2 linked regions of the Diceros bicornis minor genome follow. The protein of the gene in region 1 purifies or fractionates together with the protein of each later gene. This does not show direct contact. Links are inferred from orthologs where the notes say so. Each region holds a gene or a part of one and is shown on either strand. Other genes may lie near its edges. The genes, in order: CLGN and TCTN2.

Evidence for each region.
Region 2: the proteins of CLGN (region 1) and TCTN2 purify together in Homo sapiens (affinity purification with mass spectrometry; 3 studies listed by BioGRID and IntAct, with this or other methods). This does not show direct contact. The link is inferred for Diceros bicornis minor from reciprocal best matches to the Homo sapiens genes CLGN and TCTN2.

The regions. Positions count from the first base shown.
Region 1 is NC_080750.1:30,748,580-30,752,494, forward strand, and holds the start of CLGN (calmegin), read right to left. Parts: upstream 2,489-3,915; 5' UTR 2,385-2,488; intron 1-2,384. UniProt on the Homo sapiens protein: Functions during spermatogenesis as a chaperone for a range of client proteins that are important for sperm adhesion onto the egg zona pellucida and for subsequent penetration of the zona pellucida.
Region 2 is NC_080774.1:6,829,425-6,833,339, reverse strand, and holds the start of TCTN2 (tectonic-2), read left to right. Parts: upstream 1-916; 5' UTR 917-988; coding exon 989-1,070; intron 1,071-1,243; coding exon 1,244-1,351; intron 1,352-1,811; coding exon 1,812-1,888; intron 1,889-2,717; coding exon 2,718-2,913; intron 2,914-3,915.

The sequences.
Region 1 (3,915 bases):
TCCTACCAGCCAATTCTTAATTGTTAAGTGCAGTAAGGCAGTCCCGTTGCCTACTGCTCCTCCTGACCTTGCTGACTGCCTCCTTCTTGGAGCCCTCTCCTCCCTTGGTTTCTACGGTACCATTCCCGATTCTTGATTCTCTTTTCTCTGCCTCCTTCATGGGCACTTGCTCTAATCTTCTGTAAATGTTGCTGTATCTGAGGGTTCTGTCCCAGGCTCTCTTCTTACATTACATATACTCTTGGCTTCTACCTATAAAAGCTAGCTAAGGACTCCCAAATCTCATCCACAGCTCAGATATCACACTTTAGTTTCAATCACTACCCATCTTCAAGGATGTCGCAAAGCCTCCATTCATTTGAACTTGGTCTTTCCTCCCAAACCTGCTTCTCTATCTCAATTCTTTTCTCCCATTAACTGCACATCCAGTGAACCAGTCAAGTTACTTTGCCATTATCTTAAGACTATTCTTTCTCACTGACCTCCTATGTTATTGGTAGCTAAATGCATTTGGGTATTTCTTAAATGTCCCTTTCTATCCCCATGCCACAGCCTTAATTTAGGAACCCATCATTTCTGAAAAGGATTAGTAAACTCCCACTTTGTCTCTTCACTTCTAGTCTTGCCAGTCTACAAATACATCCTCCACCTTCTCTCTAGCATGAGTTTTCTAAAAAACAAGTCTTATTCTGTTTATAAAAATGTTCAATAGTTCTCTGTAGTTCTCAGCATAAATTCTGCCCTTTTAACACTCAGTTCTTTTACTCCCTTCAACACTCACCTATTTAACACATTTGTGCTGTTCTATATGCTCTTTCTTACAACTGAGATGCCTTTCTGCTCTTCATTTTTAATGGCTGACTGAGGACTCAACACTGGTATGCCTCAAAAGTCATGTTTGAAAATCACTATTTCAAGTCTTAATTGCATGCAGCTTCAGAAACTCAACTACAGAATGATATAATAAATAGTACACTGAACTTGGCACATCACACTAAGTTTCTAGTTCTATTATGAAAAAGGCAAAGGGTTAAAACTGCTCTGGGCCTGTTTTTTCATTTGTCAAGTGAAAAGTTTTAAACTAGATGATCTAAACTAGTCCACTAAAGTTGACAATTCTAGCTTTCTAATTATGAGCACTAAAACTTATTAGGTACTGAAAACACTGCACTGTTCAATTTCTACAGATCCATCACATCCTCATATCATTCGCACACAATAATTAACTTTATCAACTAGATAAAGAATATAGACTATCTTGTTCTAAGAATTTAGGGATAAGGTCTAAATGTGATTGGAAGATCAAACCAATTAGATGTGAAGGCAAAATTATAAACTGAAAAGAAGTCAAACTTACAATTACCAAAAGGAGGGCTACCTAGAGTGATTAAATGACCAAGAATAATGTAAAAATTTCAGAGCAAGGAAAATCATAAGACTAGATCAGGGTTTTGATGGCTTTTATGCATCAGTTTCAATATAAATTAACTCTTCTAATTTGAGACGTCTTCCCATGGCCATTCTATTTACTTTCTCTCTCCCCCTTCTGAGCTTTGTTGCCATTTGCTTTTAAATCCCAAGCAAATGCCTCTTCCTTGTTGCTTGGGCAGATGCTATAAATAAATTCAGCTAAAGTGACTGACTGATCGTAAACAGGCTTTAGGCGATAATGAGTCTCTATTAATTAGGGTTTCCTTGGTTTCAACCCAACCCTCTCGCTCCCTCCCCAGCGACGCACACCGCGCTTCAAACTGCGCATCTAGGGAGTAGCCAGGAGTCACAGGCCACCATCGCTGTGAGGGTTGGGTCCCTTCACCGTTACAGAGGTGGGGATTGCGTAAGCTGAGCCTTTTTGACTTTTGTTGGCGTTTCTGTGAGAAGTAGCCGGTGGGGTGAGCAGCGCCCAGACGCGCCTTGGGTCCCCTCCACACCCCTCGGGAGCGCGCATCGGGGCTCGAGCGTGGAACGGGGCTGAAATGCTAACCGCTGGAGTAACGGACTCGGCTCCCTGGGGCCCCTTAAGTCTTCAGGGCCGGGCTGGGGAGGGCACCTGGCCTTCCCGAGGCCGCCCCAAGCCCAGCGCAACAGGAGGACACAACAGTTCTGGAGGACCCAACGTCCCCGAGGTGACCAACTCCCGCCGCCCAGGATGGCCTTCCTTCTCCCGAGGCCGAGAGCCCGCCCAAGAACCTCGCTCGCTGCGCCCCCATCCCGAACTCAACATCCACTCCCCTCACCCGGCCCCAACCTATTCAGCCTGGCGGGTCGCCAAAGAAAGGGGCGCGGCCCAGGAACCCCCGCCCCGGGGGAAGGAGCAACGACTCCGATTCCTCACCCCAGCGCGAGCGCAAAGGACAGCGGAAAGTGGCCTACTGCCCACGCACCTGTCTTGGGGGCCTGTTTTCGGCAGTGGCAGCTCAGATGTCCGAGTGGCTGCCACTTGGTCCCTAAGTCTCCCCAGACCACTCCCGCCGGCGGCCGCCCAGCAGCGACTGCTAACCGCGCATGCGCGTGCGGCCGCAGGCGGGGAGGAGGCGGGGGCCCGAGGCGCGTGCCGCGCGCACCTGCACCGGGGGGCTCAACGGCCACCGAGGGGCGCCGCCCTGCGAGCCTGCGCTACGAATGCCGCCGCCCGCCCGCCGTAAGGCGCGCTCCCGGCACCGCGCGCCGCGCCGCTTCCGCGGGCCAATGGTAGCGTGGACTGGGCTGGCAGGGGAGGAATGTCTGGTTATTAGTCCCAAGACTTTTCCTTCCCGCAGAGCGCGTTGCCCTCTTTGCAAGCAGTGGGGGTCTGCCTCCTATTGCGCATAATTGGGTCCTGAATTTTATGTAAATCCCGTTTTTGAACAGCGTCCAGTTGGTACCCCAGGCCTTTCCTAGAGTTCGGTATGTTGTTAACAGATGAGAGGTCATTGTGGTCAGGGCGAGGCTTCCTATTTCATGTGCTGTGTACGATAAATACAGATATATTAAATGTTAACCTAATAAATACATTATGTTTTCTTCTTGAAATGCTGTTAAGAATTGCTATCATTTCTTGTGCTCACTGTACTCTAAGGGTTTTACATTCCTGTTCTCGTTTAACCATCACAACAGCCCACGTGAAGAAACTGAAAATAATTACATGCCGAGCCTTTGACTAGTAAATGGTGGAAATAGGGTTCAAATCCAGGCTTAACTCTCTCAGAGCCTGAAGTTTTAACCAACGCGCTAAAAATAAGAATACAGCAAAAACATAGTATTGAATCACAAGCCTCTGCCCGTAGATGTTGGGTCATGGAGCTTGTACTACTTATATTTTATAGTAAATCTCGACTTTGAAATTGGTATAATGATTTCAATGTTATTGGAAGAATAAAATATTTAATTGACTTGTGATACCCCTATTAAAGAGTATCTGATGAGAGGATTGATGATGCTCTGTGCACAATGTTATTGGCTAGATGCCAAGATCACTGAATATTTTTCACATTGCATCAGCAGTAAAGCCACTATTTCTAGATTTTTGACAGTGTCACCCTCTGAAGCATGTTTATATAGTGTTTAATTTTATTGGTTTAAAAAATTTTTATTTGAGGTACTATGTAACAATATTATCCTCTTAATTTCTTTCTCCAGTCTTTCCAACTTCTATTATTCAATGTAATTCTGTGGCCCATAACAAATATGATTGACTTGCTAGAGAAGAATTTCTGAAGGATCCATTGAAAGTTTGCAATGAAGAAGCTGAAAGCTAAAAATTTAAAAATGGGGAATTAGAGCTAAATGGGCCGTTACCCTGACGCATTGATGCGAAAATTTGTTAAAACTCCAAGATTCTGATATACACTTAATTCTTATTCTCAGTTTGGAGTGTTGTTTTAGGAGGATACCTATTTATCTGTTTTAATGACTATTTTAATAGGAATTCAGAAT
Region 2 (3,915 bases), on another chromosome or scaffold:
GTTGTCTCTTTGTCAGGTATAGTGCAGAACACCATACATGGATTGTCTCAGCTTATTGGCACACGCTCCTTCTGATAGCTAAGAAAACGAGAGAACTTTTATCCAGTGCTTACCGTATGCTAGGCATTGGTCTAAGCTCATTACATATGTCACCTCATTTGATTGTCACACAACCCTGTTTGGGAGGGACTATTATTTTCCCCTTTTTATCAATGAGGAAAATCAAGCTTAGAGAGGTTAAGTGACTCACTTAACAGCGTGCAAGGAAGTCAAAATCCCAAACCAGGCAGTCTGACCTCAGAGCCTGCCCTCTGTCTCCGAACTACAACAACGCTTGAAATGCTTTGAGGCTATTGACAAGAAAAACGAAATTTTTTCCAGGTAGAATTCTGATAACTTTTGCACCTGTCCTAATGCTGGGCAAAACCTTTTGTGTGTTCTGTGGCAAGATCTGCTTTGGGTGTGCTGAGAGCTCTGTGTGGTAAAAAACAAAACAAAACCAAAAAACTTCAAAAAAACCGGGAGAATAATAAAAACAATTCAACACCACAATCATAGCCCAGCGGCCTCACCTCCGTTTGGTCCCTCCCCCCAAATCCCCATAAAAACTCAGTTTACGAAGCTTGCAGGCTCGCTCTTGCAGTGTGACTGAATTAACTCAAGGCGCGGGGAACCCCACTTTTTAAAGTAGACGCGGACTCCCACTCCTTCCCGATCCTGTAGCGGGAGTGGAGGGGCCCCGAGGGCGCAAGGCCTGTGGGCGGGGCCGGGATGCAGCGGCTGGGGGCGGGCTCTCTCTGCCGCTGGCCCAATCACGGCGCGCCGCTCCGCCTGGCCGGCGGCCGATTGGTGGTTGCCATAGCTCCGGGCGCTCGCTTGACAAGATGGCGGCGGCAGGGCAGCGAGGGCCGCGTCTTGGCGCCTGGGGGCCTCCCGGCTTCTAAGACGCGCGCGGTTCTGTGGTGCGGGCCCCGCGCGAGCCCCAGGCATGGGCTTGCCGCCGGCGGCCCCTCTGCTCTTGGGGCTCCTCCTTCTGCAGGGCGTCCTGAGGCCGCTGTGGGGGGACCCGGGTGTGTACGGCGGGGCAGGGGCTGCAGGGCCGGGCTGAGGGGACGTGGCGTGTAAGGGGTCGGACTCGGACTCCTGCGGGAGCTCCGGAAGACGCCGCCAAGGAAGGCCACCACACGCTCCGGCAGGGGCTCTGCAACCATTAACTCCTCCCTGTCCCTTCCTTCCCGCCTAGTTTTCATCCCTCCTGTCATCCGCATGTCCGGCCCTGCGGTCAGCGCGTCCCTGGTCGGAGGCACCGAGGATGTGACCGTGTCCCTGGCCCTGCTGCCGGACGCAGAGGGTAAAGAGTCCGGCCCCTCCGGCTGGAGAGTGGGGGTTGGGCCAGGTCCAGGCCGCCGGAGGAGTCCGGCGAGGTGGCATCCTCAGGGTCCCCTGCCGCTGTCCCCTGCAAAGTCGGTATGGGGAGGAGGGATGGGGGGCCCTCTGTGGACCAAAGAGAACCGACGGACAGGTTCGATGAAAGAAAGCTTGAAATCGTAGTGGCCAGCATTCGTTGAGCTGTCCCCTGTGCTTTACACCTGTCACCTCATTTTTCTAATAAGAACAGTAATATCCTTTAATCCCATGTGACAAATGAAGGCACTGGAGTTCAGAGAGGTTGTCACTTATTCAGTCACACAGCTTATAAAGGGCCCAGCCCTAGGGTTGGAAAGGGATTCTGTCCTAGGGAGCCTGATTCAAGAGTGCACCCCCTTAGCTGCTGGGTGATACTGCCTTGCATTCTCATCTTCTCTCCCTAGGGTTATTGCCAGTTCCTTCTTGTGGAGTGCTGAACAATGAGACGGGAGACTGGAGTTTGACGGTGACCCCCAGTGGGGTAAGGCTTCTCAGTAGCATCTGTGGAGGCCCACATTTGGTGTTTCTACAGTGCTCTCTTGATTGGACAAGATGCAGCTCTCTCAGTGCCCGGAACTACCATGAAACTGTGGGCCAGCAGATCTAGTAGACACCCATCCAGCCCAGAGGGTCTTACTAGGGTTAGGGGTCCTTGGACAAGTGTCAAGCAGTCAGTGAATCCTCTGAAAGTGTGTGTAAAATTACATGTGTGTGCGTTTTTCTGATGAGATGGTCGCCAGCTTCCATCAGATTATCAAATGCAACTGTGACTCAGAAAAGCTTCCTAAACCGAAGGTCTCACCCAGCTCTGAGATTATGTGTAAAGGACACTCAAGCCTGGAGACATTAAATATCTTCCATTTAATAAATGTTTTATTGAGAGGCTAGTGTGTGCAAGGCGTTAACTCCGGAGATAAAGGATGAGAAAGACAGACTTTGCTTGCACCGCAGGAACTGGGGACTGTTTCCATTGACTTTTTTTGTGTCTTTAATCTGCTGGTAGGATGATAAAGAAACTAAAAAGGTGCTGTACAAAGTGAGTTAATTTATCAGAACTGTTTAGCTTTCTCTAAGTATCCAGAAGTCACTTGCTTTTCTGTTAAACCGAGGATTAGGAATCAAAGCTCGCACATTGCCATAGGTTTACAGGGTGGAATTGAACAGAATTATGTCATCTTTGTATACAATTCTCCTTTTGTAAATGAACGGTTGCTGATGTGTGCTTTTATCATGTTTTCCATTATGTGTCCTTATAATTATAGATGCTGTTTTGAGTCACTCTAAAAAGTACAGCAATATTTTCCTTTCAGAATTCATTGGAAGTGACAGTGAGGTTGAAGAGGAGTCTGCAATGGTGTTCCTCCAATGAGACAGATTCCTTCTCAGAGTCCCCATGTATTGTCCAAACTCTTCTGATTTCAGCATCTCACAATTCATCCTGTTTAGCGCATCTACTCATTCAAGTGGAAATTTATGCCAACTCTTCTATGGCCCATAATGCATCAGGCAAGTAAAGTCTTTGACTATCAAAACATTCACGTCAAGCGTTATCTGTCTGATTGTAAGTGTATACCATGCAATTTGTGTACTTCACTCTTGGGTCTGTCTTGCTTTGCTAAACTTATTTTGCTTTTGTTGAGTTTTCTTATTTTAAAAGTTTTCACTTTGTCTTATTTTACTTAAGATTTATTTTATCTTGCTCTACTGTTTGTATCTTTGTAAGCCACCTTAAATCTTTTTTGGGAGAAGGTGAAGTTTGTTTCTGTGTATTGATTCCTGTGACTCCATCTTAAAACAAAAAAACCATACACAAAACCAAAGGGAAGAGAAAGACTCATGAGTGAGTTTGTAGAAAAACAGCAGAGTTTTGGTGAAAGCTTTTGATCTCTAGCTCCCTTTCCTAAAGGCAGCCTGCTAACTTATGCTTATAGAAGCTCATATTCCCTTTAAACACACACACACACACACACACACACACACACACACTATAATAACACTCGATTTGCTATTCTATATGTTTTAAAAAATAATATAATGTAGAGATTGTTCCATATGAATACATGTAGAATACCTCATTCTTTTTAATAGCTACATAGTATTCCATTGTGTAGATATACCATTGTTTATTTAGCTAGTCTCTTAGTAATTGAATTTCAGTCATTTCCAGCTTTTGATACTATAACTAGTGCTACAGCAAATATCATTGTGCACTTATGTCTTTGGACATGAGAACATGGTTTTGTATTATTTTCCTTTTCATATAAGGGCAATGTTCTAAGAATAAAAGATGTGCTAATGTGGAGGGGTCCCTCAGTACGGTGCCACCTCCATGTTCCCTGTTCCAAACTCTAGCACCTCTTGCATTTACAGGCACCGGGGATGAAGAGAGAAGCGTTCCCCTTTAGTAACAAAGTTCTGTCACTTTGAGACTCCCACACCGTCACTTCCCGTATCACATCCCCTGACTGTGGTCCTTCCTGTGGTTTTGACAGTTTAGGAGGTTTAGAC